7 separate regions of the Mus musculus genome follow, and regions 1, 2, 4, 5, 6 and 7 are each reported to be linked to region 3. Evidence: microRNA targets listed by miRTarBase, many of them from high-throughput screens and not tested one by one. Region 3 holds a microRNA gene; each other region holds the end of a gene's coding sequence.

What was found. The annotated mature microRNA mmu-miR-211-5p reads UUCCCUUUGUCAUCCUUUGCCU and lies in region 3 at 1,988-2,009, shown strand. An mRNA with a match to its seed (bases 2 to 7 or 8) in the 3' UTR can be bound and repressed. Matches are read on the target gene's strand: a 7mer-m8 pairs with bases 2 to 8, a 7mer-A1 pairs with bases 2 to 7 and ends in A, and an 8mer does both.
Region 1: miRTarBase lists Jarid2 as a target of mmu-miR-211-5p. Seed matches in the 3' UTR shown: 7mer-m8 at 2,193-2,199 and 8mer at 1,313-1,320.
Region 2: the mRNA of Samd7 is a reported target of mmu-miR-211-5p. Seed matches in the 3' UTR shown: 8mer at 3,494-3,501 and 7mer-m8 at 3,215-3,221.
Region 4: miRTarBase lists Fgl2 as a target of mmu-miR-211-5p. Seed matches in the 3' UTR shown: 7mer-A1 at 2,110-2,116.
Region 5: miRTarBase lists Comt as a target of mmu-miR-211-5p. Seed matches in the 3' UTR shown: 7mer-m8 at 2,523-2,529.
Region 6: the mRNA of Tcf4 is a reported target of mmu-miR-211-5p. The part of its 3' UTR that is shown has no 7-base or 8-base seed match.
Region 7: miRTarBase lists Bco1 as a target of mmu-miR-211-5p. Seed matches in the 3' UTR shown: 7mer-A1 at 3,333-3,339.

The regions. Positions count from the first base shown.
Region 1 is chr13:44,918,473-44,922,567 of GRCm38, reverse strand. Jarid2 (jumonji, AT rich interactive domain 2) reads right to left here. Exons shown (of 18, transcript NM_001205043.1): 18 at 925-2,768. The coding sequence ends at 2,616. It overlaps Dtnbp1 (dystrobrevin binding protein 1), which reads left to right. Exons shown (of 10, transcript NM_025772.4): 10 at 114-489. The coding sequence ends at 361. Among named protein-coding and RNA genes, the nearest start is that of Dtnbp1, 82 kb to the left of the region's middle.
Region 2 is chr3:30,765,134-30,769,220 of GRCm38, reverse strand. It overlaps Samd7 (sterile alpha motif domain containing 7), which reads right to left. Exons shown (of 8, transcript NM_029489.3): 8 at 2,047-3,974. The coding sequence ends at 3,780. Among named protein-coding and RNA genes, the nearest start is that of Gm33590, 10 kb to the right of the region's middle.
Region 3 is chr7:64,203,844-64,207,975 of GRCm38, forward strand. Mir211 (microRNA 211) reads left to right here and starts at 1,963; the gene lies at 1,963-2,068. Trpm1 (transient receptor potential cation channel, subfamily M, member 1) reads left to right here. Exons shown (of 27, transcript NM_001039104.2): 6 at 579-750.
Region 4 is chr5:21,374,612-21,378,559 of GRCm38, forward strand. It overlaps Fgl2 (fibrinogen-like protein 2), which reads left to right. Exons shown (of 2, transcript NM_008013.4): 2 at 643-3,775. The coding sequence ends at 1,349. All of the region lies in intron 2 of Ccdc146 (coiled-coil domain containing 146), which reads right to left. Among named protein-coding and RNA genes, the nearest start is that of Fgl2, 3.9 kb to the left of the region's middle.
Region 5 is chr16:18,405,027-18,409,158 of GRCm38, forward strand. Comt (catechol-O-methyltransferase) reads right to left here. Exons shown (of 6, transcript NM_001111062.1): 6 at 1,856-3,014. The coding sequence ends at 2,811. It overlaps Arvcf (armadillo repeat gene deleted in velocardiofacial syndrome), which reads left to right. Exons shown (of 18, transcript NM_001272029.1): 17 at 76-195; 18 at 581-2,050. The coding sequence ends at 183. Among named protein-coding and RNA genes, the nearest start is that of Gm15764, 6.5 kb to the right of the region's middle.
Region 6 is chr18:69,682,665-69,686,737 of GRCm38, forward strand. Tcf4 (transcription factor 4) reads left to right here. Exons shown (of 20, transcript NM_013685.2): 19 at 19-159; 20 at 413-4,073. The coding sequence ends at 155. Among named protein-coding and RNA genes, the nearest start is that of Gm31439, 30 kb to the left of the region's middle.
Region 7 is chr8:117,132,622-117,136,753 of GRCm38, reverse strand. Bco1 (beta-carotene oxygenase 1) reads right to left here. Exons shown (of 11, transcript NM_021486.3): 11 at 3,034-3,780. The coding sequence ends at 3,494. Among named protein-coding and RNA genes, the nearest start is that of Gan, 23 kb to the left of the region's middle.

The sequences.
Region 1 (4,095 bases), not on the chromosome of region 3:
TGGTCAGGTAACTTGTGGACCCTACAACTAGGCTGAGGGACAGGATCTCGGGCAGTTGTCCTCAATGGCAGTTCCCAAATGCAATCAGAGGCTTTTTCTACTTTCTTCAACAGAGATGGAATCCAACCCCAATCAGAATGAAATGAGTCTTCAGATTCCAAGTCCCTCAGAATCAGCATCCCAGCCACCTGCCTCACCCTCTGCCTGCACTGACCTGGACACTGCTGATGCCCCCCTCATCCAGTCTGATGAGGAGGAGGTACAGGTGGACACGGCCTTGGTCACATTACACACTGACAGAAAGTCCACCCCAGGTGTCAGTGATGACAGTGACCAGTGTGACTCAACTCAGGACATTTAAGTGACTTGTCAGCTGTGCGCAGAATCCTCCTGCAAAGCCAGGTGCTTAGAGGTTTTCAATTTTACACACTTGCTAATGGGATGTAAGAACCATTAGAGAAGCGCTCACAATAAAGCTTATGGAATAAACACTGTGCAGCTGGTGAGTATATGGGTCGTATAGAGGCCCCTGCCTTGACAGGTGCTTAGAGCTGATTGACCAAGAGTTCCTAAAGAAACACAGGTGTGGAGGTCTGCTGGAGAGGGCCTTGAAGGAAATAGGACCTAGGCCAGGCTATGTGGGCACCGTGCCCTACCATACTGGGAGGCAGAGTCTGTTAGCATAACCAATAGTGGTCAAATTGGGATCTGAAGAACTTAATTTTACCTAGCATCAGGTGACAACCTGGGAAAGAAACTTGCTTCCCCAAGGTCCCCAGGGCATGAGCTAGCCTAGTTGCAGCCCAGAGTGGTGAGCAGTGCCACGGACATGCCTCTGTAGCTCCGCTCCCTGGCCTAAGAGAGGATGTGTAGCCCCTGCCCCACTGACCAAAGAAAGCCCAATCCCTTCCCACAAGACAGACAAAATGTCCAAAAAACTTTTTATTATTAAACCTTGTAGTACAAACCTGAAAAGTAAACAAAGAACTGGCAATAACCACACAGAGCCTCCCGGCAGGAGGGGTGCAGAGCAGCGCTAATAAATTAAATGTCGAACTGTAAGCCATAGGCGAAAGGTTACCGACAAAGAGGGGAAAGTCCACAGCAAGGCCATAGAAACTGGACGACCACATTGGAAACACTCGACTGTCAGGCAATCGTTAAATAGTCCAAAGCAGTTTAGTCTTCTGCAACAACAGCCACCAAAGTGGATCCTAGGCGTTCCTGGCAGTCACCACTGGCAAGCTCAGTGCAATGTGGGTAGCTATGGACTGATCCAATTATGAAACAAACAACAGCTTGTGAAAACAGTTTCCCTTTTTTATTCCACACATACTGTACACACAGCCGGAGAAGGGCAACAGCTACTCCACTACCACGTTCTGTTGCTGTTGAGTGATGTAAGCAGCACTTATACATGTCACAAGAGAACCCTGTAAGCATCCAATCAGCCGATGAAGAAACGGAAACGTAAGGCTTTTCTCCATCTTCTCACCCCTTCCCTCCCCCTCCAAGAAAAGGCTCAAGTATTTAAAACAATTTACAGGAGTATGTACAAAAGGGATGGGATTTTTTTTCTTTTTTTCTTTTTTGTTAAAACATGAAGAGAAAAAATAGACAAGAGGAGCACAGATGTGTTTCACATTCAAAAAGAACTGCAGACTTAGTGGCTCTAAGTGTGAGGGAAACAAAGATTAATGCTGATGTGAGGGACACAAGCAGAGATGGAGGTGGAATGTCGGGAAATTGCACATGGATGACAGGGAAGCACTTACAGTCAACTGCTGTTCCTTTTCCTCAAGGATGCTATTGAAGGGTTTTTTGTTTTTTTGTTTTTTGTTTTTTTGATAAAGTAGCCAACAGCACCAAAAAAAAATAACAGAATGGATTTCCTAATGAAATCAGGCACAGGTCTCCCTCAGTGACCCTCCAAGGCAGGCAGTCTTTGTCTTTGTCTCTCTCTCCCTCGAACGGATGCATAGTGATGTGCTGGTATGAGAACCTCGTCACTCAAACCTCACAGTTTGCCTTCAGCTGCCATAACCGCCCAGCCAAAGAAACAGGGCTCTCCGGTTCCAAAAGTTACAAACTCCCTTCGCACATGACAGAAGAAAAGACAGCCAAAGTAAAGCCATTTCAAGTTTTCTTTTTTCTGTGTGTGTGTGTGTGTGTGTGTGTGTGTGTATCTTCTATCCCTTTTCCAATCTAGAAAAATCTCATCTGACTGATGGTTTTAAAATTTGTTCTCCAAACTTCACCATCTTCAAAAATGGGTTAAAAAGCCTTTATTCCTCAACAGTTACCAAACAAAACAGAACAAAAACAAACAAACAAAAAAAAAGGCATTTCACAGCCATGGGGCGATACAAATTAATACAGCCCCTCAAGGGTTTTAGACAGTGAGTGTACGGCAGCTTCCAAACCTGACTGCAGTATCTAGATATCTACGTACAAAAACTTGAACAGTTTAATGCTAAAACAAAATCAGTTCTCTAAAACCAGAAGAAATTCTTCTTTAGAGCTAGTGCAAAGACAGCTTGTATCCTACAGCAAGTACTCCAAACTAGAATATAGTAATTACAAAAAATATATAAGTGACCATGGGTTCGGCATCTTCATGAGGATGGGAGCCGAGATGGCGGCACATCCACGGTCGCTCTCTTGCGGGGACCTCTTTTTGGTGTGGGTTTGTTGAGACAGTTCTCGATGCCACCGTGTTTGCCAGACACTTTGCCACATATCTGGTTGACCAAACTGATGATCTGCTCCTGCCAGGACAGACAGACAACATTAAGTTAGTGCAGCAGAGGCACCAAATCCTATGACTTATCAGTGTGTGTCACTGGACATTAGCAGGCTTTCTAAATAGCTTTAGGATTCAGAGATGCAGAGGACTTGTGAACAGGACAGGGAGATACCTAAGGAAAGTCCTGTGGCTGCCGAGACTGCTGAGCACCGTGCATACCTCTCTGCCTTGTGGGCTCCCAGCAGCCACTAAAACTAACACCACCGCTGGGGGATCTGACACTTTTGGCCCCTAGTATGCTTGCATTCACATGTATATAACTCTCCATAAAGAACTCAAATGCCTGTCCTGCAAAAGAGAAACAGATGCCTCCACACTCGGAGGAAGACTGTCTCCTGAAACTGCTTCAGATAGTTGGAGGTAGGGTAGAAGCTGAGGCAGCAGGCCCTCTTTGAGAGCCAACATGACAAGAAAAATCCAGAAATTTAACAACAGCATCCAAATATGAGACATTACAGATTGAAGCTATGCTAAAGTTCTCCAGCATGTGACATCAGCAGCTCACATGACTCATTGTGTGTGACCTCTGCATTAGAGGGGGAAATGGGTCAGCTATATCCCTTTATTTCACCCAAGAGGACCGTGCAACTCTCTACTAAAAGGTATCCATAGCTGGGTGTGGTGGCACACACGTAGAATCACAGTTCTGCAGAGGTTCTAGCAGAACATATTTGGGAGCAGCCAGGGACACAAAGGAAGGATGTCTCAAAAACAAGAGAGCATAGGCAAGAACACCAGCAGTGAGGAATGGAGGCAGCCTGGACACAAGACTCCAGGTTCACACAGTCAAGTTCTGCCTCTAAAAAGCCTACAAACAGCTGAAGGATGTGACATAGTCCCCTGCCTCCTTAAAACAAGCTCCTTTGTGAAAGCCTTGCCTGTCTATCTTCAGGTCTGGGAGCCCTGCTCTTCCTGGGAGCTTCACAGTGCATAGGGGTGTGGGAGGAACAGGCCTGGAACCCCTTGTGTGTCTGTCATTGGGCTGCACAAGGAATGAAAAGGACTGAACTAAGAGCTTGTGTCTATCCTACCTTTCTCAGTCCACCCAGCTGAACACAATTGAGGGCTAGTGCTGACCCTTTACAACAGCAAGCCTCTGGCAGAGGGAGAGGCTGCTTCCAGATGTGCTCCTGTTCTTTCAGGACTTTGGTCCCAGTAAGATGTGGCTTCCTACCCCAGTGCTCAGTTTGTAGAATGCACTTTTAGAAGTCCTAATCATGTGCACAGATTTACACTCCCTGGCCCTGACCACTGCTGCCAACTCTGGGTCCTGGCTGGGGTCTTTGGAA
Region 2 (4,087 bases), not on the chromosome of region 3:
CTTAACGCTGGGCATAAACTAATCATTAATTAAGTTTAACCATCAGTTTAGTACACTTAAAAAATTGAAACTATCAAAATAAAAACCTCCTGAAAACGAGCCAAAGATTCTAAATGTACTAAAAAATAATTTCTTGGAACTGTACACACAATCTATAAGCACATTAAAAACTGAGACCCAGTGGAGTTCACACGAATCACCTCCTTTACTCGTGTGATTAGCTTCTCACAGCCACACAATGACATCTCCTGGGTATCAGCAGACACATCCATCAAGGCCTTTTACGTGTGTAAAGAGGGATCCATCTTCCAGAGAGGAGGCTGGACAAGTACAGTGAATGACTACAACTCTCTTTAAACAAAACTTTCTCACATTCTGTGATGAAACAGCAATTGAGAAAGATCTGGGAGTGATTGCACGAACCTGTAATCCCAGAACTTGAGAGAACGCCTTACCAGATGGAGATGCAAGGTTGGAACCAGCCTGGCCTACATGGGAAGACCAGATCTTATTTAGCTCTCATGCTTTTAGAAGGATTTACTTGACTCCTCTGAGCAAAAATATTTCATAAGTAATAACATCCTGTTTATCAGATAATTCTTTTAGTGGTTGGTTTTCAAACAAAGGAGGTTTTCTATAGTTGTGATTTATCTTTGATTATTTGCTTATACAGAGTAAAGTTTGATCAAGGCTAATGGAGCAGTTAAGGAGTTAAAACTTTTCCCCAGGAGATGATGGCTCAGCAGGTACAGACACTGGCCACCTGACTGACTGACTGAGTGTGATCTCCAAGATCACATGGCTAAAGGAAGACAATTGATTCTTGCAAGTTGCCCTCTGACCTTCACTTACACACCTCGATGAAGAAACAGACAGACAGAAATGTCATACAATATTGAAAATTTAAAAATCTGAGCGATAACTGTGGTGGTTTAAATAAGAGTGGCCCTGGAGGCTCATGTACTTGATTGCTTAGTCACCAGGGAGTGACACTTTTAAAAGAGGATTAGGAGGTGAGGCCTTGTCAGAGAAAGTGTGTCACTAGGGGTGGGTTTCAAAAGCTTAAGCCAAGGCCTCCGGTCTCTTTTCCTGCTGCCTGTGAATCCAGTCGTAGAACTCTCAACCGCTTCTCTAGCACCATCCTGCTATGCCTGCTGCCATGCTCCATGCTATGATGATAAGACACTAAACTTCTGAAATTGTAAGCCAGCCCCCAATCAAATGCTTTCTTTTGTAAGAGTTGCCTTGGTCATGTTGCCTCTTTGCAGCAACAGACCAGCAATCAAGACAGTCATGTAAGCGAAATCACCCTTCAAAATCATCCCATTCACCAAAGTAGCCCCTTTTGTTAACTCCGTCCCAGCAGGGGCGGCACAGGTGCTTTTGTAGAGGGCAGAAAATCGCTTGCTAGAATGGCAGCTGACAACCATCCATAACTCCAGTTCCAGGGGACCTGATGCCCTCTTCTGACCTCTGTGGGCACCAGGCAATGCACATATGTGTATCCAGACCAGACACTCAGATACGTACAATAAAAATATATGAATCTATTCTTACAAAAATTATAAAGTACCCAAATAGTCTCTAACTGGAGAGCAGAGGGTTTTGTGGGCAAATTATTTCAAGCTCTTCTTTTGGGAGAGAGTCCTCAGCCAGGAGGACTTCCGTTACCATCTCCTGATTCCTTTTTTAAATGTCTGTTCTAAAATGAAGCACAGTGCTCTCTGTGGTGATAGTCTATGGCTGGCACACCAAAGCGTCTCCCTCTCAACAGCACGACACACATCTGCTCAAATCAGTCCGTTGCTTGCTAGCTCAGCAGACTCCTTAGCAGGAGCAAGAGATTATAATGTGGGTTGTAGGAGGTGATCCCTTAACCACCGGAGAATACCAGGTAAACAGCAGGTTTCGTCTCTCACCACAACATCTCCTAACCCACTGTGGGCTTTTCATAGACCTTCTGAAACCTGGGCGCAGTAGGTCGTCTGTCTAGACAGCTCTATACACTGAAGATTAGACGAGTAGAAAAGAGAGAAGAGCCTGAGGTATTTTTCGAGTTACTTTTAATTGAAACCTTGACACATGTTATCTACCAGCATAATGCCCATCTTAAGAAAAATTAATAAAAATTTGAAAGTTGTGGAGATTTTCTGCTTTTTGACTGTCTCTCAACAAAACGATAAAGAGCTTAAGCTAAAATTTTGCAAGTATATTTGATGGTCTGACAGGCTTTTGAACAATTAATTTTAAAAGTTAACATACTAAGTATTAGGTTTAATGATGAGATTTTCAAGCAGAGACTCTTTTGTTGATTCTCCCCCACCGCTTTGCCCTCCCACTCCCGGGACCCCTCGTTTCCACTCCCACCACACATGGCCACAGTCCACAACTGAATTCATCCAAATCTCTGTTTGCTCTTTCCAGTTTCAAAGTCTAAACCCACACTAATACCTGCATGAACACATAAATGACATAGATAAGTTTTATATGAGACCAAACCCTTGTCATGGAAGAAAGAAAAACCAAAAATTACCAAAACAAAACTAAATGAGAACTCTAGAGGAAGGGCTTGGATGCCCACCTTCCAGACCAAACGGGGAGTCAGTACTGTGCTCTCTGTGTCAGTAAGTTAAATCTATGTGTTTCAATTCTCCATGTCTGTGAAAGGACCCCAAAAAGCAGTGACTGGAAACAGCAAGTTTGCGACAACAGTTCTGTGGTCAGGGACTGAACGGAGGCTTGGCAGAGAGCCTGGACTAAGGTCTTGTGAGTTGGCATTAGGCTGTGGACCAAGACTTTCACATACCTGAAAGGCAGGCAAGCTCTGCGGTGTCCACTGTCAAGGTTAGTCACGTGGTGTCACCCAGGGCCTCTTGGAGAGGGAAACTGACGTAGAAATGGGACAGAAGCCACAGCAGGGATCCCTGCCGGGCCTTATGGGTGTGCTTAGGAAGGTGTGTTTCTTTGGTTCAGCACACTGTAGGGGAGGGGTATACAAAGGCAAGCACCCTCGACAATGGGTGGGCTATCTTAAAGGCTTTCTGCTAGGGTTTATTTACTTGAACTGAGAGTGTCACGTGAGACACATTCTCAAGGTTTACAATTCAGACCATTCAAAATAAGACCTCCTATGCTTGCCAGCCAGTCCCCTCTCTGATCATACTGTTGCCAGTGTGTGTGTGTGTGTGTGTGTGTGTGTGTGTGTGTGTGTGTGTCCCTTTGGAGTCATTCTGTCAAATGTTAAGTTGGAAGCCTGGACACAGCCACCTTTATCATCACCTCTCTCTCACTAGTTCCAACTTGTTACACACAGATAACTTTCCCCCTCCCCTCCGGTAAATCCTAACTTCCCCCTTGTAGGCCCCACTGCAGGCTAGACGCTGCTGTGGCTAGGAGATAAGGTGCTGTCTCTCATCAGCTTTGCCCTGCCTCCTCCCATCAGCACCTGCTGCTCCATCAGGGTTGGGCGATGGAAGGAGTGAGTAGAAGGAGGTTCCCTTTCAGTTTCTGCTCTCCACTTCTTCAGAATTTTCTTCACAGAATCATCGGATTGTAGCTTGTAAACGTAGTCTGTAAATTCCCCTCCCCATTCGCATTTTCTCCTCGGGGCAGTTCTTCAGAACCTTGGTGCTTGGTTTGCTTCGGCTTACCAGGAAGCCTGTTGGGTGAGATCCTTCTTCCAAGACATTCTGTGAGCATGGTCTCGCTCTTTTTGTCCACCAGTTGAAGGTCTCACACCCTGCTGGTGACATCTGGAACATCTGTGTCTTTGGGTGTTTTTAATTTCTCATAACGTCTTGCTCAGTTCTTTTAGGACTCAGTAGATCCTGGGGACCAGGAATGCTCAAACCATCACTCCAGGAACTCATGTCCAAAAGAGGGGATGTGTCTGCTGGCTGATCAAATGCTTGCCTTGCATGGGTGGGAAGTGAAGGAAGTTTTTTACAGAACATATTTCCCACATGCTGAGATACCTTTGAAGACAAAATAATTATAGTGATTAAGTCTTTGAATTCTTTTGATAACCCTGCATTAACCACGGGGGTGGGGGAAGCCAGGAGGCTGAGGTAATTTCAGACACGGATGT
Region 3 (4,132 bases):
AAATAACCTCTGATCTCCACTGGCATGTGTAGCTACCACAGATGCACACACAGAGACACTCACCCGTGCTCAGGATTTTATGTTACTGTTATTTTTCATTTCTCTGCAGTAAATACATGTTCAATTATTGGGCTGCCACTGTCTAAAGCAAACAGTTTTTTTCTTTTTTAATACATTAATTGAGAAAATAGCCTTCAGTGTGTAGGGTAGAGAAATGACACTTAAGTTTACATGTGGTAGCTGAGCAGTGGTGGCACACACCTTTAGTTCCAACATTCATGACAGGCAGAGGCAGAGGCAGAGGCAGAGGCAGAGGCAGAGGCAGAGGCAGAGGCAGAGGCAGAGGCAGAGGCAGAGGCAGAGGCAGAGGCAGAGAGGCAGAGGCAGAGGCAAGCAGATCTTTGTGAGTTTGAAGCTAGCCTGGTCCCACAGTCTATACAGAGGCCTACGCAGAGAAACCCTGTATCAAAAAACAAAACCAAGTTTATATGTTGTGTGTTTACACTCATTTCTTGTGTCTCCTATGACACTTAATATCTAAATTCTGCAGCTTTGATTCACATCATGCTTTCTGTCAGGTAACAAGAGTCTATCAGACCATGTCCAACCCTCTGAGCAAGCTCTCTGTGCTCAACAATTCCCACACTCACTTCATCTTGGCTGACAACGGCACCCTGGGCAAGTATGGTGCTGAGGTGAAGCTTCGAAGACAGCTGGAAAAACACATCTCCCTGCAGAAGATCAACACAAGTAAGTCCTGGGAGGCCATGGGCACCAGCTCGGGACTGACTCTACCAGGGTGGAAACCAGCTGAGAAGGAAATTACCAGAGGGTGCTGATTCTTGCTAGGTCCATGGACTATGCTCAAACTCTTTGCCCTAGCCACCTACCAAATCACCCTCCCAGAGCAGTCATGGGATGTTTTGCCCAGGTTCACAATTTGGTCTGAGACTTACCCTTGCACTATTTGTCATGGTTGTCATGGTGATGGCACTGCCCACCATGTTGCCCTCGGTCTTGTTCAGTGTACTTACTGCTATTATTTTCCTTCATGTTTTATCAGGAAAAAAAAACCTAAAAACTTGTTCCCAAAGATTTGGTATAATTCAGATTGTGACCCAATGAGTGTTGTAGGATCATTACATATCTCTATAGCTCTCAGTCTCCCACATGGACTAAGATGGTGAGATAAGGAAATCCTTGGACTTGGCTACAGGGACATCTGTTCCTGATGGTCACCATACTTGGTGGTCCAGATGGCACAGCTCACTGCTGGGGGGAAATGTGAGGATAAATTAGAGAGAAAGGACTGGCTCCCAACCAGATGAGAGGACCCATAACCTTCTGGGAAATGCCCACATGCAAAACTTCTGCCAGACAATTATGAAATGATCTCACAGAATATTTCATTCTTATCATCACCAGGAATATCTTTGTGCACCACAATCTAGAACTAGGAAAATGTCAGAATGTAAGGAAGTGTGGTATCACTCAAGTGGTTAGAACTGGGGTGCCTACTCCTAAAGGCTATAGATTTCCAAGAATCAGCTTAAACTATTTCTATTAATTCTCTGAGAGTTTTATACAATTTAGTTTTATACAATTATTCTATTCCTCCCCTACTTGTGCCAGATCTACCCCCACCTCCCAAACAGCCCCTGAATTCATGTCCTCTTTTAAAGAAATGACTACTTGACTCCTACTGTTCTGACCATGCAATCACAGGTGTGGGGGCATCCACTAGAGTGTGGTCAACCTATCAGGGCCGCACACTTAAAAAAAAAAACTGACTCCCTTCCCACAGAAGGGAATTTGTCAACTCCTCCCCACCCTCATGCTGGAATACTGACCGGCTTGATCCTGTGCAGCCAGCCACACTGTGAGTTCATGAGTGCGGAGGTCCTAAGAATCAGATCTTGGTGGATAAATCAGTTTGATTTAGTGTTTTTGGACTTGTAAATTCTGCTTGGACCTGTGACCTGTGGGCTTCCCTTTGTCATCCTTTGCCTAGGCCTCTGAGTGAGGCAAGGACAGCAAAGGGGGGCTCAGTGGTCACCTCTACTGCAGAGAGTTCAGAAGCCTAGCCTGAGCCAAGAGCAAGTTCTTCTCTGCTTCTGGAAATGAAGTCGCCATGATCCTGACGATGTAAAAATCCCAAGCACGCTTGGATGGAAATCTCAGAGACAGACGATGCCACCCTGATCCATTTTCCACTATTTCTTTTCTCTCTCTCTCTCTCTCTCTCTCTCTCTCTCTCTCTCTCTCCCTCCCTCCCTCCCTCCCTCCCTCCCTCCCTCCCTCCCTCCCTCCCTCCCTCTCTCTCTCTCTCTCTCTCTCTCTCTCTCTCTCTTTCTTTCTTTCTTTCTTTCTTTCTTTCTTTCTTTTTTGAGACAGGGTTTCTTTGTATAGCCCTGTTTGTCTTGGAACTCACTCCGTAGACCAGGCTGGCCTCGAATTCAGAAATCTGCCTGACTCTACCTTCTAAGTGCTAGGATTAAGGGTGTGCGCCACCACCGCCCGGCTTCATTTTCCACTATTTCTTATTCATGGCTTAGCCCAGTGGGTCCCACCCTTCCTAATACTCTGACCCTTTAATACAGTCACTTGTGTTGTGGTGACCCCTCAAACCATAAAATTATTTTTGTTGCTACTTCATTACTGCAACATTGTTACTCTTATGAATCATAATGTAAATATCTGATATGCAGGATATTTGATACGTGACTCCCCTAAGGGGTAGAGACCCACAGGTTGAGAACTGCTGGCTTAGCCTATGCCATATCTTCACCATTTGCTGGCTGGAATAAACTCAACTGTAATTCTTCTAACAGGAGACAACAAAGTTATCCTGAATCCTTAAGTATCCACTGGGGAAAACAAAGTAGAAAAAGAGAGACTCTGAATTCACTCATTGATAGTCTCAAGGCTTCTTATAGCCCGTGCTGGCAGATTTTATCGGAAGCTCTTGAGAACCATAACATCAAGGACATTTCCTTCCTCTTGTCTCTTGTAATGTTGCTCACAACTACAGAAACCAAGCAAAACCTGATCAGCAGTCAGTGAGCCTGGGTGTTGCCAAGGTCCAAAGCCCAAAACTTCACTGGTCACAGACAGAAAAACATTCAGGAGAGAAATTCTGTCTTTAATTAATGTGTATGGAGTTTTTTCCCAGTTGCTATCCCTCAGAAACACAATATAATAACTACTTTCATGTCATTGCATCATGCCAGGCGTTATGAGTCCCCTGGAGATGGCTTGAGGCACACAGGAGAAGATACATGCAGCTGCTACATCATTTTATATAAGAGTCCTGAGCATCTTGAATTTGGTGTCCAGGGGGATGTTATAAGGTTCTGGAGCCAATCCCTAGTAGATGCCTAGGAACAACTCTATAATATGTTCTGGCCAGGCAGAGATGACATTTTGAAGTAGGCAAGTTTGTCACGAAGCCTCCTCTCCAGCACTTTCCCCCCAGTATTATCTCAGCTTCCAGAATTCTCCCATCACTTCCTGCTGGATCTATCACCAAAAATTTGTCTATTCCTACTGTGCCCTTGAAGAATTATATTATTTATTTATTTTAAATCAGAGTAGACTCTGGAAATAAGCCATTGGCAATGGGCTAATAGTACTCCACGCTTTTACCCCTAAGGTAATATCCTGGGGCCAGAAGTGTTTTAGTCTTGGATTTATAAATTTTGGACATATTTGCATACCCTTTACCAATGATCATCTCCAATCCAAATATTTGGTCTTGGAAGATGTCTTGGGGACGGGTGATGCTCAACCTTTTCTCCCGTATTCGAGGCTCTGGAGGCAGCAACAAGAGCAGACTACCACACGAGTGCCTCTTTGACTTCCCAAACACTACGTAAAAGCCAAATCTATTCTTATATTTCAGGTCTGTTGCTCTTCTTGAGATAAGTGAGGTCCTGATCCTTTTACAACTGGTCACCTGAGAGATGGCGCTTTAATGAATGGTCCAGCAGTGCTTTACTGATAGAGGAGAGGCCCTAGATTGGGCTGAATTCCCCTCTGGCTCAGTCCAGCCCTCCTTATACTGGATCATTGTTGGAAGACAGCCCCTAGCATTTCACACCTAGGCAGGCAGAAAAGGAGCCTTCATAGCAAT
Region 4 (3,948 bases), not on the chromosome of region 3:
GTTTCAGAACAGTGCTGTGCACTGAAGGCTGACATTTAGAACATATATAACGATTTCTGTAAAGTCTGCTGTAACAATTGCTGATTGTATCCTAGGAGACTTGGACTCCTCTCAACGTTAAGGCAGAGGAATATAATGGTTATGAGAGTAAAACTCTCTGTCAGGTACATCTGGCTTTCTGTCCCAGCTCTGTCACTTAACACTTAGTTGCGGTGGGAAAACTCCCTGATCTTCCGGGAGACTAAGTAACTGTATAAGCAAGCTGGCCGTGATATCCACGTCGTAAGGCTGCTGTGTGGGTTCAGTGAAAACTGTTACAGTGATTGGCAGAGTTTCTGGAGGTCATTGACCCTCATTAAACCTTGCATACACTTATTCTTACTACTCTTTGCTGTTAGTGTTGCCACCAGGATTGCCATTCAAGGCAGTCCTGTATACTTGATAACACCAGTTGGTTCTGAGGCCTTAGTTAGCATCTGTTAGCCTGGTTCAGGAGAGTGTATCAGAGCCAGGTTCCTCTATCACATAAACTGTAACGCAAGTGAATTGTCCAATTGCTGTTGAGTCTGAGAGTCCTTGAGGTGCATAGCTTTGACTAATAAATCCCCATGCTTTTATGCTTTTCCTTCCTCCCTCTTCCAGTTCAACATCTAATATACAAAGATTGTTCCGACCACTACGTGCTAGGAAGGAGAAGCAGTGGGGCCTACAGAGTTACCCCTGATCACAGAAACAGCAGCTTTGAGGTCTACTGTGACATGGAGACCATGGGTGGAGGCTGGACGGTGCTGCAGGCTCGCCTTGATGGCAGCACCAACTTCACCAGAGAGTGGAAAGACTACAAAGCCGGCTTTGGAAACCTTGAACGAGAATTTTGGTTGGGCAACGATAAAATTCATCTTCTGACCAAGAGTAAGGAAATGATTTTGAGAATAGATCTTGAAGACTTTAATGGTCTCACACTTTATGCCTTGTATGATCAGTTTTATGTGGCTAATGAATTTCTCAAATACCGATTACACATCGGTAACTACAATGGCACGGCAGGGGATGCCTTGCGTTTCAGTCGACACTACAACCATGACCTGAGGTTTTTCACAACCCCAGACAGAGACAACGATCGGTACCCCTCTGGGAACTGTGGGCTCTATTACAGCTCAGGCTGGTGGTTTGATTCATGTCTCTCTGCCAACTTAAATGGCAAATATTACCACCAGAAATACAAAGGTGTCCGTAATGGGATTTTCTGGGGCACCTGGCCTGGTATAAACCAGGCACAGCCAGGTGGCTACAAGTCCTCCTTCAAACAGGCCAAGATGATGATTAGGCCCAAGAATTTCAAGCCATAAATTGCTAGTGTTCATCTCTCTGGGCACTCACTATCTAAGAGGACGATGAATTCCTTCAGCCCTTTACCATATGTCTCAGTTTATATTCCTTTCCTATGGCTAAACATTTCCTTTAAAGCTTTACAGCTTTTAGAATAAAGCTGAAAAGATCTAAAAAGACTCCTATGTTGCTGTTATATGAGGAATGCTTGAAAGCACTGGAAATATTGACAATTATACATTATAATTGCAAAACCTTTCATTTTTATTAGTTGAAAAGTTTCCTAATATTTTTATTATTTTTATAATAAAAACTAAATTATTCAGCAAGCTAGATTCTATATACGCAAGTTTTATTTTCACTAGGGCTAAATATACACATTTGAGAATATACCAGTCCTTCCAGGTACAACTGAAAGCCAAGAACTGTAGTATTATCTTTCGTCTAAGAAGAACTTAAAGCATTTTAGTTCTCAAGAAGAAGGGCAGGGATGGGATTGGGGGCCAGGGACAATATGTATAGCTAAATGTATTCATCTAATGCAAAATATGGCATTAAAATACCTAAAAATGTGGTAGCATAATATATGTCTCTTCCCTCTCCAATTGAAAAATAATGTTACCCTGTAGACTTTGGTTTAGTGGTAATTCACTTACTGTTTATAGCCTGTTAGACCGCGATACAAAAGCTGCTTTATCCTCTCCCTCTGCTCTCTGTGCACAATGGTTTGTGATGTAAGGTGCTAGACTACTGTAAGGTTTCCTTGGGGAAAGGCATGGTAAGGGAAAACACACTGGTTTATATTTTGAAAGCCAATCCTAATCCCAAAGCAATACTGTTGTCGAGGAGTCAACGTTCTAGGAAGCTGACTTTTCTAGAACAAATGTATTTATTAGGATGAATTTTGGAATTTTAGTTTAAATATTATACATTTTAATCCTAAGCAGTCAATTGCTTATTTCATTCTTAGAAATTCAAAGAATATATACAATTTTAGCCAAATGTGAGTCCCTGGAATTCCTTACTTGTGGATGTCAAGGGTCACATTAAAAGGCTCTGGGGGCAGTTTCACTCACTTTATTCTTGTGAAAAGGGGTCACTCAGAGAGAAACAACCCAGCCGCACACTTAAACGTGCTCTTGGGTGGAATCTGAAGTGCCGCATGCAGTCAGTCACGTGGAGTAACTGACTGTACAACATGCACTGTCTAAGCAATAACTTTGATCTTTAAGTTTTGGTGTAGCTTCTAATATACTAACCAAGCTTTTGAAATATATGCACAAAGATTCCACCTTAGTTATTTTTAAAACATAACTAGGGAGGATATTTATTGTCTTGACTACTTAAACTTTCAAACATGTAGCCACTGTAAAAAAAAAAAAACTTTACAAAGAGCAAGATACTATTTTTGAAACATGCAACATGAAGTTTTCAGGTGAATACAGTGACAACTAAGCTATTAATAATATAATTAAATTGCCAGCGTAAGCTAAATGCATGCTGAATTAAATGACCAAAATATAACGTAGATTTTAAAGCCTTTACCTACTTGGTAAAACAGTGAATGTAAGTGGCAGTAACCAATCTTATTTCTTTTTGCTTTTTAAAAAAGACTAAGAAGATTTTGATATTATACAATTCATGTGTTTCAAATCCTGTTTATTATATGTAGCCATATAAGTCTAATGACATTTCCATAATGAAAATTGATTTACCATAGCAAAAATACTATGTGTTCATCCTGAGTGTGTCTTTCTCAGGGTAACAATGAATCCATGTAAATACTTTATCTTTGCACTTCCAATGGATCCAAATGTTGTTTTCTATTATAGTCTATGATATTCTTCTAATAATTCTTTAACACAGAAATTTATTTTTGAATCATTTTCTGTCACTCATTTAAAAATATATTGTAGACTTTGATAATCTCTAATCTGTTTATTGAAATAGTCCTTAGCCTTAACAATTCACTGATATATGCTGATGTTCATTAATGTACACTATTTGCCAATATGTATTTTTAGAGTCTTGGCTTCATTTGGGTGGCTAGCACTGATCTTAATGATCACTTTATTGCTGAACATCATTATTCTTTAAAAATGCCAAGTGGAACTAATTTCTTAGGAATCCAGTTGATTTGCCTGTCACGAAACGAGAAAGCCATCTCTCTGAAAAGTAGTAACGCAGCAAATGTCCTCAGTTCTCTGGTGGACAGAGCTCGTGTGCGAGGCTCAAGGAGCATTAGAATCCCAGGATGGGCTGGACCTGGATTTTTCAGTAGCTGCCCCTCACTCTTCGATAAGTTTTCAAGATAGGTGGATATATGCAATTTCCATGAACTCTTGTTTAAGATTTATTTTCATTGATGTATAATTAAGGTTATGTTTAATGTTTCTTTAAAGCCTTGTAAAATAAAAGTTAATCTTTATATCTATCCTTCGATGTGGAAACAGCATGTGTAAAATGATATTTATATATCTGTTACTGTCTAAAAGGTTGGGTTGTGTTTACCTAATCTAGATAACATCCCCGAGTCCTTAAAAACACTGAGTATTATTTCTTTATATAATAATAAGCAAGGCAAATAGAGGACACCATCATCTATTTCCTTTAGACTGC
Region 5 (4,132 bases), not on the chromosome of region 3:
CTACCCTTAGTTGCAGTTAACCTGCTTTTATTTTCTGCTTCTAACTCCTGTCTGCCCACCCACCATGCACTGCAGCCCGATCCTGGCAGGAAGGCCCCTCCGCCTGGGCCCAGCAGGCCCTCGGTCAGGCTGGTGGACGCCGTGGGGGACACTAAGCCTCAGCCTGTTGACTCCTGGGTCTAGCTTGCATGCCTGGTACGTTCCTTCCTCTGGTTTGCCCATCCTTGGACTAGGGCTCCGTGTTCATCTCTGCTTGCTGCATGACTGAGCTCCCTATGTGATCTCTGGCAGGACTTGACAACAGCCCTGTTCCGGTCTCTGGAGATCAGGGTCCTGGGGAAACAGGCCCCCTATTTCCTCAAATACCCCCAGCACAGGGCCCTGTGAGGACCCGCAAGACAGGACTGGTTCTGGTGTCAAGGGTCTTGGTATGGCCCATCCCTCACTCCACAGCTACTGCTTCTGTATGGCCTATCAAGGCAGCTCCCTGTATGGAGGTCCCAAGTCACCTTGCTACACTTTGCTGCCTCTTATCTATCTGGGCTCCCGACTAAACATCTGTCTTTGCCTTCCTTTGCAGGGCCCTGGCCCAGCTGTTTGTTCTTAGGGATCGCATCGAGGTAGCTGGAAGAGGGCCAGAGGGCCCGCCATCTTGAGCAGAACCAGTCTTGGAGCCAGGAGCCCCACCCTGCTGTGGCAGGGTGGCCAAGCCTCTTGTCCTACCTTACCCTACCCTCTTCTCTACTCTTCTGCTCTAACTCTCCAGGTCTGAGTTAGCTGTTTACTGACATGGTGCTGTGTGGTAGGAGAGGAGGCTGGGGGGAGGTCCCCATGCACAGCCACAGAGGAGCAAATACAAGCCTGGATTGGAGGTCCTGGAGCAGGCAATGGGACAAGTAGGGGGCCTTGGAAAAGAACTTGGGCTCCCAAGGGTGGCTGGAGTACTACACTGCATGTAGGCTGACCACAGGGAGGGCTGCTCTAAAAGAGTCCAGACAGGGAAGTTTAGGAGGCAGCCAGATTGGGGGTAGTGGCAAGCTGTGCTTGTCACCAGCACCCCCATCCTTGGATTCCTGGAACACCTTCCCTCTGCAGCATACTCCTCCTAAGCTGCCTGTGGCTGGGGCCACCCTGGCTGTTGCATCTGCCTAGAACCTCAAGTAACCTCGGGGCCTGACTGCCGGCAGCAGTGGGGGGAACTGCTGTTCAGTGCCTGCTGTTTGTGACTTTAAAATGAAGAAAACTGACAAAATGCATTAAAAATGAAACCAAAATAAGACTATCAACAAAAATTGAAATTTTTGTAAGAAAATTTAAAGATTAAAAAAGCAGCAAAGAACTGCCTGTCTTCTGCCTTGGCTCACCAGGAGAGGGCACAGTCCTGTGCTAGCTGAGCCACCACTGCCCCCTGGTGAAGATACAGTTCCCTCAAGTCCCATTGCAGGGAGGGGGTGGAAGGGGTATGGGGGTTGTGCTCTGCCCCTGGCCTCAGGCACGTCCCACTGCTGTCACTCCTGGCTCCTGTGTGCCGGCTGACCAATATGGGCATATGTGGGAGCAGACAAGATGGAGCTGACCTTTGTTTCTAGTCTAGGAAATGGGCCCCTACTGAGGCCTTGAGGAGCCTCTTGAAAGAGATGGGGGCTAGGGTGACTCTTAAGCTTGGGTTGGCACTTCCTCAGAATCTGGGTGCCTGGCAGACATGCCTCAATGGTGTGAACTGGAGAGACTGTTTATCCCAGAGACATCGGGGACAGCGTGGCCCCATGCCTGTTTAGTCAGAGATGAGTACAAAGGCTGTTCTGCGCCAAGTAAGAGCAGTGTGGTAGCTGAAAAGAATAACTCAGTGAATTTCTTATATCCAAATATTTAGATCTTTAATTTCTTTTATAATATAAAAGAGATTATGACTTTTTTTTTCAAAGTATTTCTATGTAGCCCTGGCTGTCCTGGAACTCACTGTGTAGACCAGGCTGGCACAGAACTCAGATCCATCTGCCTCTGCCTCCTGGATTCTGGGATTAAAGGCATGCGCCATCATACCTGAAAAGTTTGTGACTCATTCTTAAGATGAAATGTGGTATGAGTTGCTGGTGACAGTACCGTCTGAGTCGTTGCTGCCATTGGTGACAGCCGAATGGTATCTGGATATGTTCAGTTTCCTGACTTCTTGCTGAGTGATGGCAGTGCCTAGGGATCCCACACTGAAACTTTGTAAAAAATCTCCTCTTCCAGTTAGTGAGGCCATCAGGATGACACCTGCTTTGATTTTTTTTTTTTTTTTTTTTTTTTTTTTTTTTTTTTTTTTTTTTTTTTTTTTAAAAGATTTATTTATTTATTATATGTAAATACACTGTAGCTGTCTTCAGACACACCAGAAGAGGGCATCAGATCTTGTTACGGATGGTTGTGAGCCACCATGTGGTTGCTGGGATTTGAACTCTGGACCTTCAGAAGAGCAGTCGGGTGCTCTTACCCACTGAGCCATCTCACCAGTCCCCCTTTTTTTTTTTTTTTAAATCTCCCTTTTTGTTCTTGGGTGCAGAGGATTCACCGTGAGGGGTTTTGCGTGCCAGGCACGCACTGTGATCTACTGCATCTCTGGCCTCAATGCAGCCTTTGATGCACAGGTGTTTTCCAGGGGTATTGTAGTGGTTTGCATGGTGAGCTCACTACCTTTAATGTGCCAGTGTATGACAATCTGGAGCCACAGGCCCTGAGGAAAGGCCCCAGAAGCATAGAGGGGGTCAGAGTGAGTGTGTGTCATCGTGCAGAAGGGAGCTGGGACGGAAGCTCATCAGGCTGAGTGGTCAGGACTTCACGGGGCTGCTGCCTGGACCCTGGTAGACTGCCTTCTCCAAGCCGTCCACCACTTTCATGTACTCCAGGTATGAGCTGTAGTGTGTGCACTCGAAGCTGCTGCTCCCCCTCACATACGCCAGGAAGTCAGGGGTTCCCGGGACAATGACATTGTCAGCTAGGAGCACCGTCCCCTTGCGCAGCAGGCCACATTCCTGCAGGGGACAGACAGGGAGGGTCAGGAATGCTTGGCAAGCACAGTGCAATCCATGGGCAGCTGCTCTCCCATGGAACCACTTCCAACTCCTATTCTTCCTCGAATCCATCCCCAGCCCTAGAGGAGCATGTAGGCCACACAGTGAAGGTTTGGAGGTTCGCCAGTTTCCCTCCAACACTCTATGCCAAGAATATGGCATCCTCACCAACAACCCTGCCCTTGAGGATCTGCTCTGGACTTTTTTTGGGCCAGGGAAGACACTAGGTGCTAGGCTCTGAGCAGGAGGGAGTCGTTCCTGGGCCCTTGGAGCAGTGGGTCTAGAACTTGTGATTGTGAGAATCCCATGTAGGATGCTTGTCTATCCTCTCTGGGAAGTATATCAGCTGATAGCATACAAATAACTGAAGTACCTGCCAAGAAAGGGGTGGGAGGGGGCAGGGGTAGGGAGAGCCAGGAAACAGGACACTTGAATATCTGTTTGCCCAGGAGGCTTAGGGGGTTGTTTTTAACATAATCATGAAACAAAAGATAATAACAGCAGTTCTGTCTGATGGGGTCACGTCTGTAATCTCAGCGGTCGGGAGGCTGAGGCAGATTCATTGGTTCCAGGCTACCCGGACTATGTAAGACATGTAAGGCACTTGTCTTCAAACATACTGGAAGCAACCCAAAATGGAAAGTAAAATCCAGTAAGTAGCCCTTGGCTGAAGTGTGTCTCAGTGGGAAGAGCACTGCTAGCAGGCACACACACAAATAAAAACATCCCATCATGCTGCTGTCCCAGAGAGAAAGCAGAGGGCTCTGGGTCCTCACACACCAGTGCTGTGCTCTTACAGTTGACCAGGGCTCCAGCTGGCCCTAGTGGGTGGGGGTGGGGTGTGGACTATGAGAGGGCTGAGGGACCCTGAGGCTGGTCAGTAAGCTCGGGATAGTCTCCCGCCACAACATCCAAGTGTCTCGCTATGAATAGGACCCTGCCCAGTCCAGAAGGGGACCCTGCAGTTAGAGTGGGAAAGGGTCAAGATGAGCATGAGGTGCTGAGGCTTAGCCAGGGACATGGAAACATCAAGAGTTACATGTTGACTGTCAGTCAGACACTGAGACAGAAAACTTCCG
Region 6 (4,073 bases), not on the chromosome of region 3:
TGCTTTCATGTTCCACAGAAAGGAATCTGAACCCGAAAGCTGCCTGTCTGAAAAGAAGGGAGGAAGAGAAGGTGTCCTCAGAGCCTCCCCCACTCTCCTTGGCTGGCCCACACCCTGGGATGGGAGACGCAGCGAATCACATGGGACAGATGTGAAAAGGTACGCTGGGTGAGCTTTCCGCCATTGCTGCTACCCCACAGTTCCGCTGCTACCCCACAGTTCCGCTGCTACCCCACAGTTCCGCTGCTACCCCATAGTTCCCTGTGGCACATGAGCCACAAACAACAGGTTTTCCCCAGATTAACCAATTATTTTTAGTTCTTAAAAGGGGGGGGGGGACACTTTAAAAAATCATAATAAAAAAATTTTCTATCACTATATTAATTGTTTTTTTCTCCTTTTCTTTTTTCAGGTCCAAGTTGCTACCTTGCTTCATTAAACAAGAGACCACTTCCTTAACAGCTGTATTACCCTAAACCCACATAAACACTGCTCCTTAACCCCGTTTTTTTTTGTAATATAAGACAAGTCTGAGTAGTTATGAATCGCAGACGCAAGAGGTTTCAGCATTCCCAATTATCAAAAAACAGAAAAACAAACAAAAAAATGAATGAAAGAAAGAAAGAAAGAAAAAAATGCAACTTGAGGGACGACTTCTTTAACATATCACTCTGAATGTGCGAAGCGGTATGTACAGGCTGAGACACAGCCCAGAGACTGAATGGCAATCCTCCCACACTGTGGAGCAATGCATTTGTGCCTAAACTTCTTTTGGAAAAAAAAAATATAATTAATTTGTAAGTCTGAAAAAAATATTTAATTTAAAAAAAAATTGTAAACTTGCAATAATGAAAAAGTGTACTTCTGAAGAAAACGACATGAACGTTTTTGTTGGTATTCACGTCAGCTAGTGTTTCTAATTACCGGATATTGAATAGGGGAAGCCCGGCTGCCCTCGTAACAAAACCAGCAAACGTCCTGATGGCAACGAAGTGATGACATTAGCCATTCCTTAGGGTAGGAGGGACAGATGGATGTTATAGACCTATGACAAATATATATATAAATATATATATAAATATATATTAAAAATTTAGTGACTATGGTAAGCTTTTGTTGATTTGTTTCAGACTTTTTTCTCCTGTAAAAAAATAGTACTGATTAACTTTTTTAAAAGAAAGATTTTACTGTAAATATGGATTTTTTTTTTTGTCTGATTTTTGTCCCTTCCCCCGGTTTGTTATCGTAACCTGTAGTGCCAACTCTGCTTCCGGAGGGGCAGTGCAGGACGAAATGCTGACCCTGAAGTTGCTTCTCATTCACAAATAGTAAAAAGTTGTTTCTCCAGTCTTTTGGGAACACAGGACTTAAAAGTCACATCATGTGTAGGAATTACATGCAGCATTGCCCGGGCGAGGCAAAAAGCGTTTGTCTGGCTTGTGGCGCTGCCCTTGTTACCCTCCCCTGGGATTTTCAGAGGTACACGGTTAGAATGCTACAATGTTACCACTGTGCCTTCCAATGTTTATATCATCGGAAACATAACATAATCAAAGTGGCTGTGATTTAACAAAAAAAACGATTCAAGTGTTACCTACCTGTGTAGCCGAAGTAGTGTGCAGTGACCGAGACGTTTCTGAATACATGGTCAGATTTTTTTTGGAAAAAATACAAAAATTAAAAAAAAAAAAAAAAAAGAAAAAAAGAAAAAAAAACTAAAAAAGAAAGTCAAGTTCAAAAACCGTCAAATGAGAAAATTGCAAGGAGTGTGACAGAGCTGATTGATTTTTGTTGCTTTCTTGATTTTTTTTTCAAAATGGGTTTACTAAAAAGTAGATGACTTACCTGCCTCCTCCTTCGTCTGAAAAAAAAAAAAAATGCCAACCAATCATGCAGCATTATAACAAGCCTTATAAGCCCTAAAGCATTAAGTTGCACTTTTGTGAGGAGGGGTAACGCAGTATTCTCTCTGGCCAGTATGAGTGAAGTTTATACTTAACATTTGATAGAAACATAGATCAAACTACGGCACAGCAACTCATCAGATAGCTAGCGTTGACTCTGGGCACAATTGAACCAATTCCCATCGTAAGTCTTTCCAACAATGGACTTTGGTGTGTAGTGCAGTGAACACATAGGACTCCTACGTAAGCATTTGTCAGCATCCTTTTGTCTCTAACTCGGTTCTGTTTTGACAGCCACACAATCTTGGCATGTATTAAGGAAAAAAAAAATCCCTGTTGAAGTAGTTTTTCCACCTATCAGCACTGAGTAAATGCCATAACTCCGCGGAAATGGTCTAAATACCCCATTTGTTGTCCTGAACTACCAGTTACATAGTGACGAAACACATCTGTAAATTTTATGCAACCAATGGCAAACCTATCATTATTTTGAAACTGTGTATGTAAAAGTTATATTTTTACATGTAGACTCTTGTTATTATGTGTTTTAATACATTGTATCAGTTTTTTGTTTTTTTTTAAACTGTGTGGTTTTAAAAAGTCATTTAAATGAAATAGTGAGCTACAAGAATCTGAAATTTATGTTCATTTCTGAAAATGTAAGAACAAATAAGATAGTTACCACGTGGTCACCTTTTACAAACCCATGAACATTTTGATTAGCTGTGTGCATGTGTGTGCGTGTGTGCTCTTGCGCGTGTGTGTGTGTGTGTGTGTGTGTGTATGTGTGTGTGTTGAAAATTGTAAATATGTTCAGTAGCGATAAAACTAAAATGCTTTGATTTGTTGAGAAGTTCCTAAAATGTGGAGGTGGATTGAAAATGTAGGGGAATAGCAGGAATCAAATCTCATAAAAAGTTCTTCGGGGACTTTGCTGTGATGCGGTGGCACAAAGGTGCTCCAAGAAGGGCAAAGAAGAAAGACAGTAACTTCCCCTCCTCCCTGAACGATGGAAAACATGTGTACGTGGTCTCTCACCATGTTAAAGATTTTCTTTCCGTGATACATTCTGCACTCATTTTGTATAGTCTGCCAAGGCGGGTATCCCTAGGAACAATATTATTATATAGGAAACAGGTATCGTCCGATCACATTCAGGAGAAGCGTATAGAAAAGAATATGGTGTTTACTCTTTAGGGAACTGGAAATCCTCCCCGCATTGATGGATATCTTCAGAGTGGCACTTTTGATACATGTTATCATAAAGGTGCTTACTAAAGCAGAATCAAAGTTTTTCAACTCTGTAAACAAAGCAAAAAATTAAATTTTTAAATTAAATCATTTGAGATTTTTTTTTTCAATTGGTGCTTTTATATTTTGTTCTCACTCGGACAGAGAAAAAGCTGCAATTTCATGTTCTCACCAGCTTTGATGTATTCATTACTTGGTAATGTAATATGGCTATTGTCAAATTCCTTTTGGAAATAAGCAAAAGACTCCCCAAAGGCCAGCAGCAGCTGCTGGCTACTTTCTGCTTGGTGCGGAAACCTGATCTGACCCTCTTTGTAGTAATCAGGTGTATCTCCAGTTTTAAAAAGAAGGAGAAAGGAAATGTGGCCGTTTTAACGTGTTGGTTTTGTTTTGTTTTGTTTTGTTTTGTTTTCCTTGTTGTTATTTTGTAATTATCAAACCCAGGTAAGATATTGGTATTCCTGCACTGGATTTTTGAAAGAAACTTAGCAGAAGTCAGGATTAAAATACTACACAAACATTTCATAAGTGTTCATCCTATACTAGACATACACGAAGGCGGTGAGGCTTAGGTGCAGGATCGGTTTAAGAGACTTTGAAAGCAACTTGGAACAGTTGATCCACCTCCACATTAAAGTAAATTATGAATATGCAGAATTAGGGATCTGTCCATCTTGGAGTTGTTACTCTTTTTGTCTTCTGTATGGCAGTGATGAACACTAATGCTTTGACAGCTTTCAGCCCACCCAGTGGTCCAACTGATTCCAATTCAGTCTTCCGATTCCTGGTTTTGTTTTGTCTTTCCACTTTTTTTTTCCTATCTTGATTTTATTGTTATTGTTATTGTTATTATTATTATTATTATTATTATTAATATTCATGATGTTTGTTTTGATGAGGGATTGGGAAGTGGGAGGG
Region 7 (4,132 bases), not on the chromosome of region 3:
ACGGTGAGGAAAACAGACAGGGCTGATGAGACCAGGATGCAGTGAGCCATGAGCGGCAGGATAGATCAGGGACTTAAGGGAGAGGAATGTCAGTGGATAACTGTGTGTGGTCTATCTTCCCCAGCTCGCAGCCGCTCTTTAGGGAAATGTCTGTCTCTTGGGGTGGAGTTAAATGTTTGCTAGGGGAACTACTAACTCAGCTACTCATCCATTCATTAACAAATACTGAGTATCTGCATCGCACCAGGTGGTATTAAGGTGTTAGGAACAGAGCAGTGAATTTAGCAGTACTTAGCAGCCTGAGGGGTCTGCACAGGGCCAACTTCAAAAGATTTAACACAGCATGATTCACTTACAGGACCTTTCTTCCTCCTCCTCCTCCTCCTCCCCCTCCTCCTCCTCCTCCCCTCTTCCTTCTCCTCCTTTTCCTCCTCCTCCTCCTTTTTCTTGTCCTCCTTCTCTTCCTCTTCTTCCACCTGTCACTCTCTCAAATAAGGTCTTACTCTTTAGCCTAGGATGGCCTCAAACTCATGGCAATTCTCCTGCCTCAGCTTCCCAAATACTAGGATTACAGGTGTGAGCCATGATACCAGTTTTTAGATGAAATTTCTGAGATGACAAAATTCTATGGGTGGTGGTTGCCAGGGTGTAGGGACCAGAGGTTGGAGGGGCAGTCTCGTGAGGATCCTTGTGCTGATGGACCACGAAGTATATGGCGGTGAACAAAGGATGGTACCAGTTTTATATGAGCGGTAACACCAGAACTACTGACACACTCATGCACACACATATGCATGTATAAATTTAACCTGTGCTTTGGGTACCCACTAGACTCGAACAGTGAAGCGCCAATGACCATGGGGCTCCCAGCAATCAAGTGGGAAGCCACTTGGCTGGTTTCTGAGCTCCTCCATCCCAGCCATTGTCTTGCTTGGGGCTTTCCTTCTGCTCTGCTCCACATACCAGTCCACCTTGAAGTGCAAATAGCTCAGGACACCCCCTTTCCCTTCTGGGGGCTGATGTGGCTCTTGCTGGTTTTTCAGACCAGCCTGGCTTTGGTTTTCCACCCTGAACTGTGGCCCTTTTGCCATGGCTCATCCGGTCAGTGCCAGTTCAGTGACCCCCCCCTCCTGCAGAGAAGGAACCTGCAATCACTGATCATACAATAGGACTTCTTACAGGCCAGGAAGGGTGAAGTTCTGCAGCCCCACTTTATAGGCTCCGAAGAACTGGAAGACGCAGCCACATAAAAATCAAACAAGCAGCTGGGCGGTGGTGGCGCACGCCTTTAATCCCAACACTTGGGAGGCAGAGGCAGGTGGATTTCTGAGTTCAAGGCCAGCCTGGTCTATAAAGTGAGTTCCAAGACAGCCAGGGCTACACAGAGAAACCCTGCCTCGAAGGAAAAGAAAGAAAGGAAGAAAGGAAAGAAAGAAAATCAAACAAGCTCTCAACAGGCTTTCAAGGTGTTTTTTTTTTTTCTTTTATATTTTGCTACCCGTTGCATGGAATGACCACAGGGCACCATGCCCTTCTGGCCACATGACTTACAAACAGAGCATACCTGGGAAAGCCAAAAGGCCACATCCACAATTTGGTCCATTAGAAAGGATGGAGTGGATGGAGGAAGGAGCTGGGATGATCTCCCACCTTTTTTTCATGTTCATAGGTGCTTATTCCAAGAACAATAACATGGTTAATACAATTCTTGATTCACATTCAAGGTCTTTTTAAAGTGCATTTGCCTATACGTGTGTGCACTTGAGGACATGTGCATATATGTGTTAGACTGGAAGTGGACATTGGGTCTTTCCCTTCATCATGCTCCACCTTATTTTCCAAGACAGGGTCCCTCACTGTTTGCTGAGTAGGCTCTCTGGCCATCAAGCCCCAGGGACCCTCCTACCTCTGCCTCCTGAGAGCCTGGGATCTAGACACATAAGGCCATGTCCAGTTTTTATGTGGATAGCTATGGGGGGGGGGCAAGTGTCTGAACTCAGGTTATCTCACCAACCGATGTATTTTTCTCGTTCCTCAAGGTCTTTCTAAGAAAAGAAAGGGCTGCCTTAAATATACTAGAATTGGCTGGTAAAAACTTGCCTTTTCAACAAGGATTCCAATAAAATGGAACTCGAGCTGTCTCTGTGGTTTATTGTGGTATTTGAACAAAGAATAACAGCAGGATGACCATCTCCAACAACAGAAAGGCGCAAGCTTACTTACTTTTCCCGTTGCTGGGAGACGGTAACTAACAAAAGCTACTTAAGGGGGGATGGTGGTGGTTTATTTTGACCAGGGTACAGTCTATCATGGTGGGAAGGCATGATGTCAGGAGCATGAGGCAGCCGGTTACATCCACAGTCAGAAAGCTGAGAGGGGTGAATGCTGGTGCTCAAGTGGCTTCTGCAGTGAGAATTTTAGTTTCTCTAAAAGAACACATAAATATTATGGGAATATGTTTTATTTCTAATCCAAGGCATGGAGCTATGGGGCTCCCTTAAAGCAGGTGACTATGATTTGCCTCGTGCTCTAGCAGGGGCGTGGTTTTGCCAGCTGCAGATCATTTCTGCAAGTGTGTGACCTTTGGAATTCTGGGGACTTTTCAGAGGATGTAGGGCCCCAGAGGTGAGTTGTTGTTTGTTGGTGTTGTTTACTGTTGTTGGTTGCTGTTGGTTGTTGGTTGTAGTGGCTGTTGGTTGTGGTGGTTGTTGGTGGCTATTGTTTGTTGTTTGTGGTTGTTTGGTAGTGTTTTTGGTTGGTTGTTAACTGCTGTTGGTTGCTGTTTGTCATGTAGTCATGTGAGAAGAAATGAAAAGAGGAAGTTAGATATCCTGAAGGCAAAGATCAAACTTGTCCCAAGGAACTCAATGCCTCTAATCAGTACCTCTAGCCAGCAGGAAGTAGTCTAAAGATATCATCGCCCCCTCTCCTCTCTATCCTTTTTCTCTTCTCCCTAGTGTTAAGGGGGTTGATAAGTAGATGAAGAGGAATGGAGAAGGGTAGAAGAAAACGAACCCACAAAGTAGCAAAAGTCCAGCGACAGGTTCTTTCCTTTTTATTCAGGAAATAAAGGATGTTCAAAGGATGAGATGGTGCTGCCCATGTTCTGGTTGGATCTTCCTTGTCCAGTTAACACAATAAAGAAACTTTCTCACAGACAGGCTCAGAAGTTTGTTTCTTAAGAGATCCTAAATGCTGTCCACGTTGACAGTGTCAACAACTAAGTTCTACCAATGAAGCTAGCTAGCTTGCTTGCTTGCTTTCTTTCTTTCTTTCTTTCTTTCTTTCTTTCTTTCTTTCTTTCTTTCTTCCTTCCTTCCTTCCTTCCTTCCTTCCCTTCTCTCTCTCTCTCTCTCCCTCTCTCTCTCTCTCTCTCTCTCTCTTCCTTTCTTCCTTTCATTTTCAAGATAGGATTTCTCTGTGTAGCCCCGGCTGTCCCAGGCTGTCCGTTGTGAACTCAGAGATCTGCTTGCCTCTGCCTTGAGTGTTAGGATTAAAGACTTGAGCCACCATGACCCGCTGTGAAGTCATTTTCACTGTGGCTCAGTTCTGGTGCTGTCGGATCTGTGGGATGATCTGAGTTTTCAACCTCTTGCGTTTCAGCTGGAGTCTGCTTCACTGCATTCCAGTCTGCATCTGGGATAAATAAACCATGAAGGTCCAGGTGCATGTCCGCATCAACAGAGGCGCGAGCCAGTTCCGTAAAACTTTTGGCATCCAGAATGAGTAAAAAAGGCAGCTTTTGGGGATCCGTAGAGACGATGGCTGATAAAATGACTCCTATAAGAAAAGAAAAAACAAAACCCCCAAAACCAGTTTATTTCCATTTGTAATGCTGAGAGTGTAGTCTCAGGCCTTCATGCAGACTAGACAGCTGCTTTCCCCATAGGCTCCATCCCTGGTCCTAAGAGATATCTAACAGTGTTCAATGCATAGCCTTGTGTACCTGGAAAGAACATTTCTCAGAGGTGTCTCCCTGTGGTCTTTTAACTCATCCTTGATCTAAACAGGAGGAAAGAGGATATATGCCATTCTGTGTTGGCAGAAGAGAAACCAGAACTGCAATCAGCAGACCTACTTCCGGGAGCGCCGCTTTGCCTCAATGAACCTTTGTCTCTTCATCTTTGCAGTG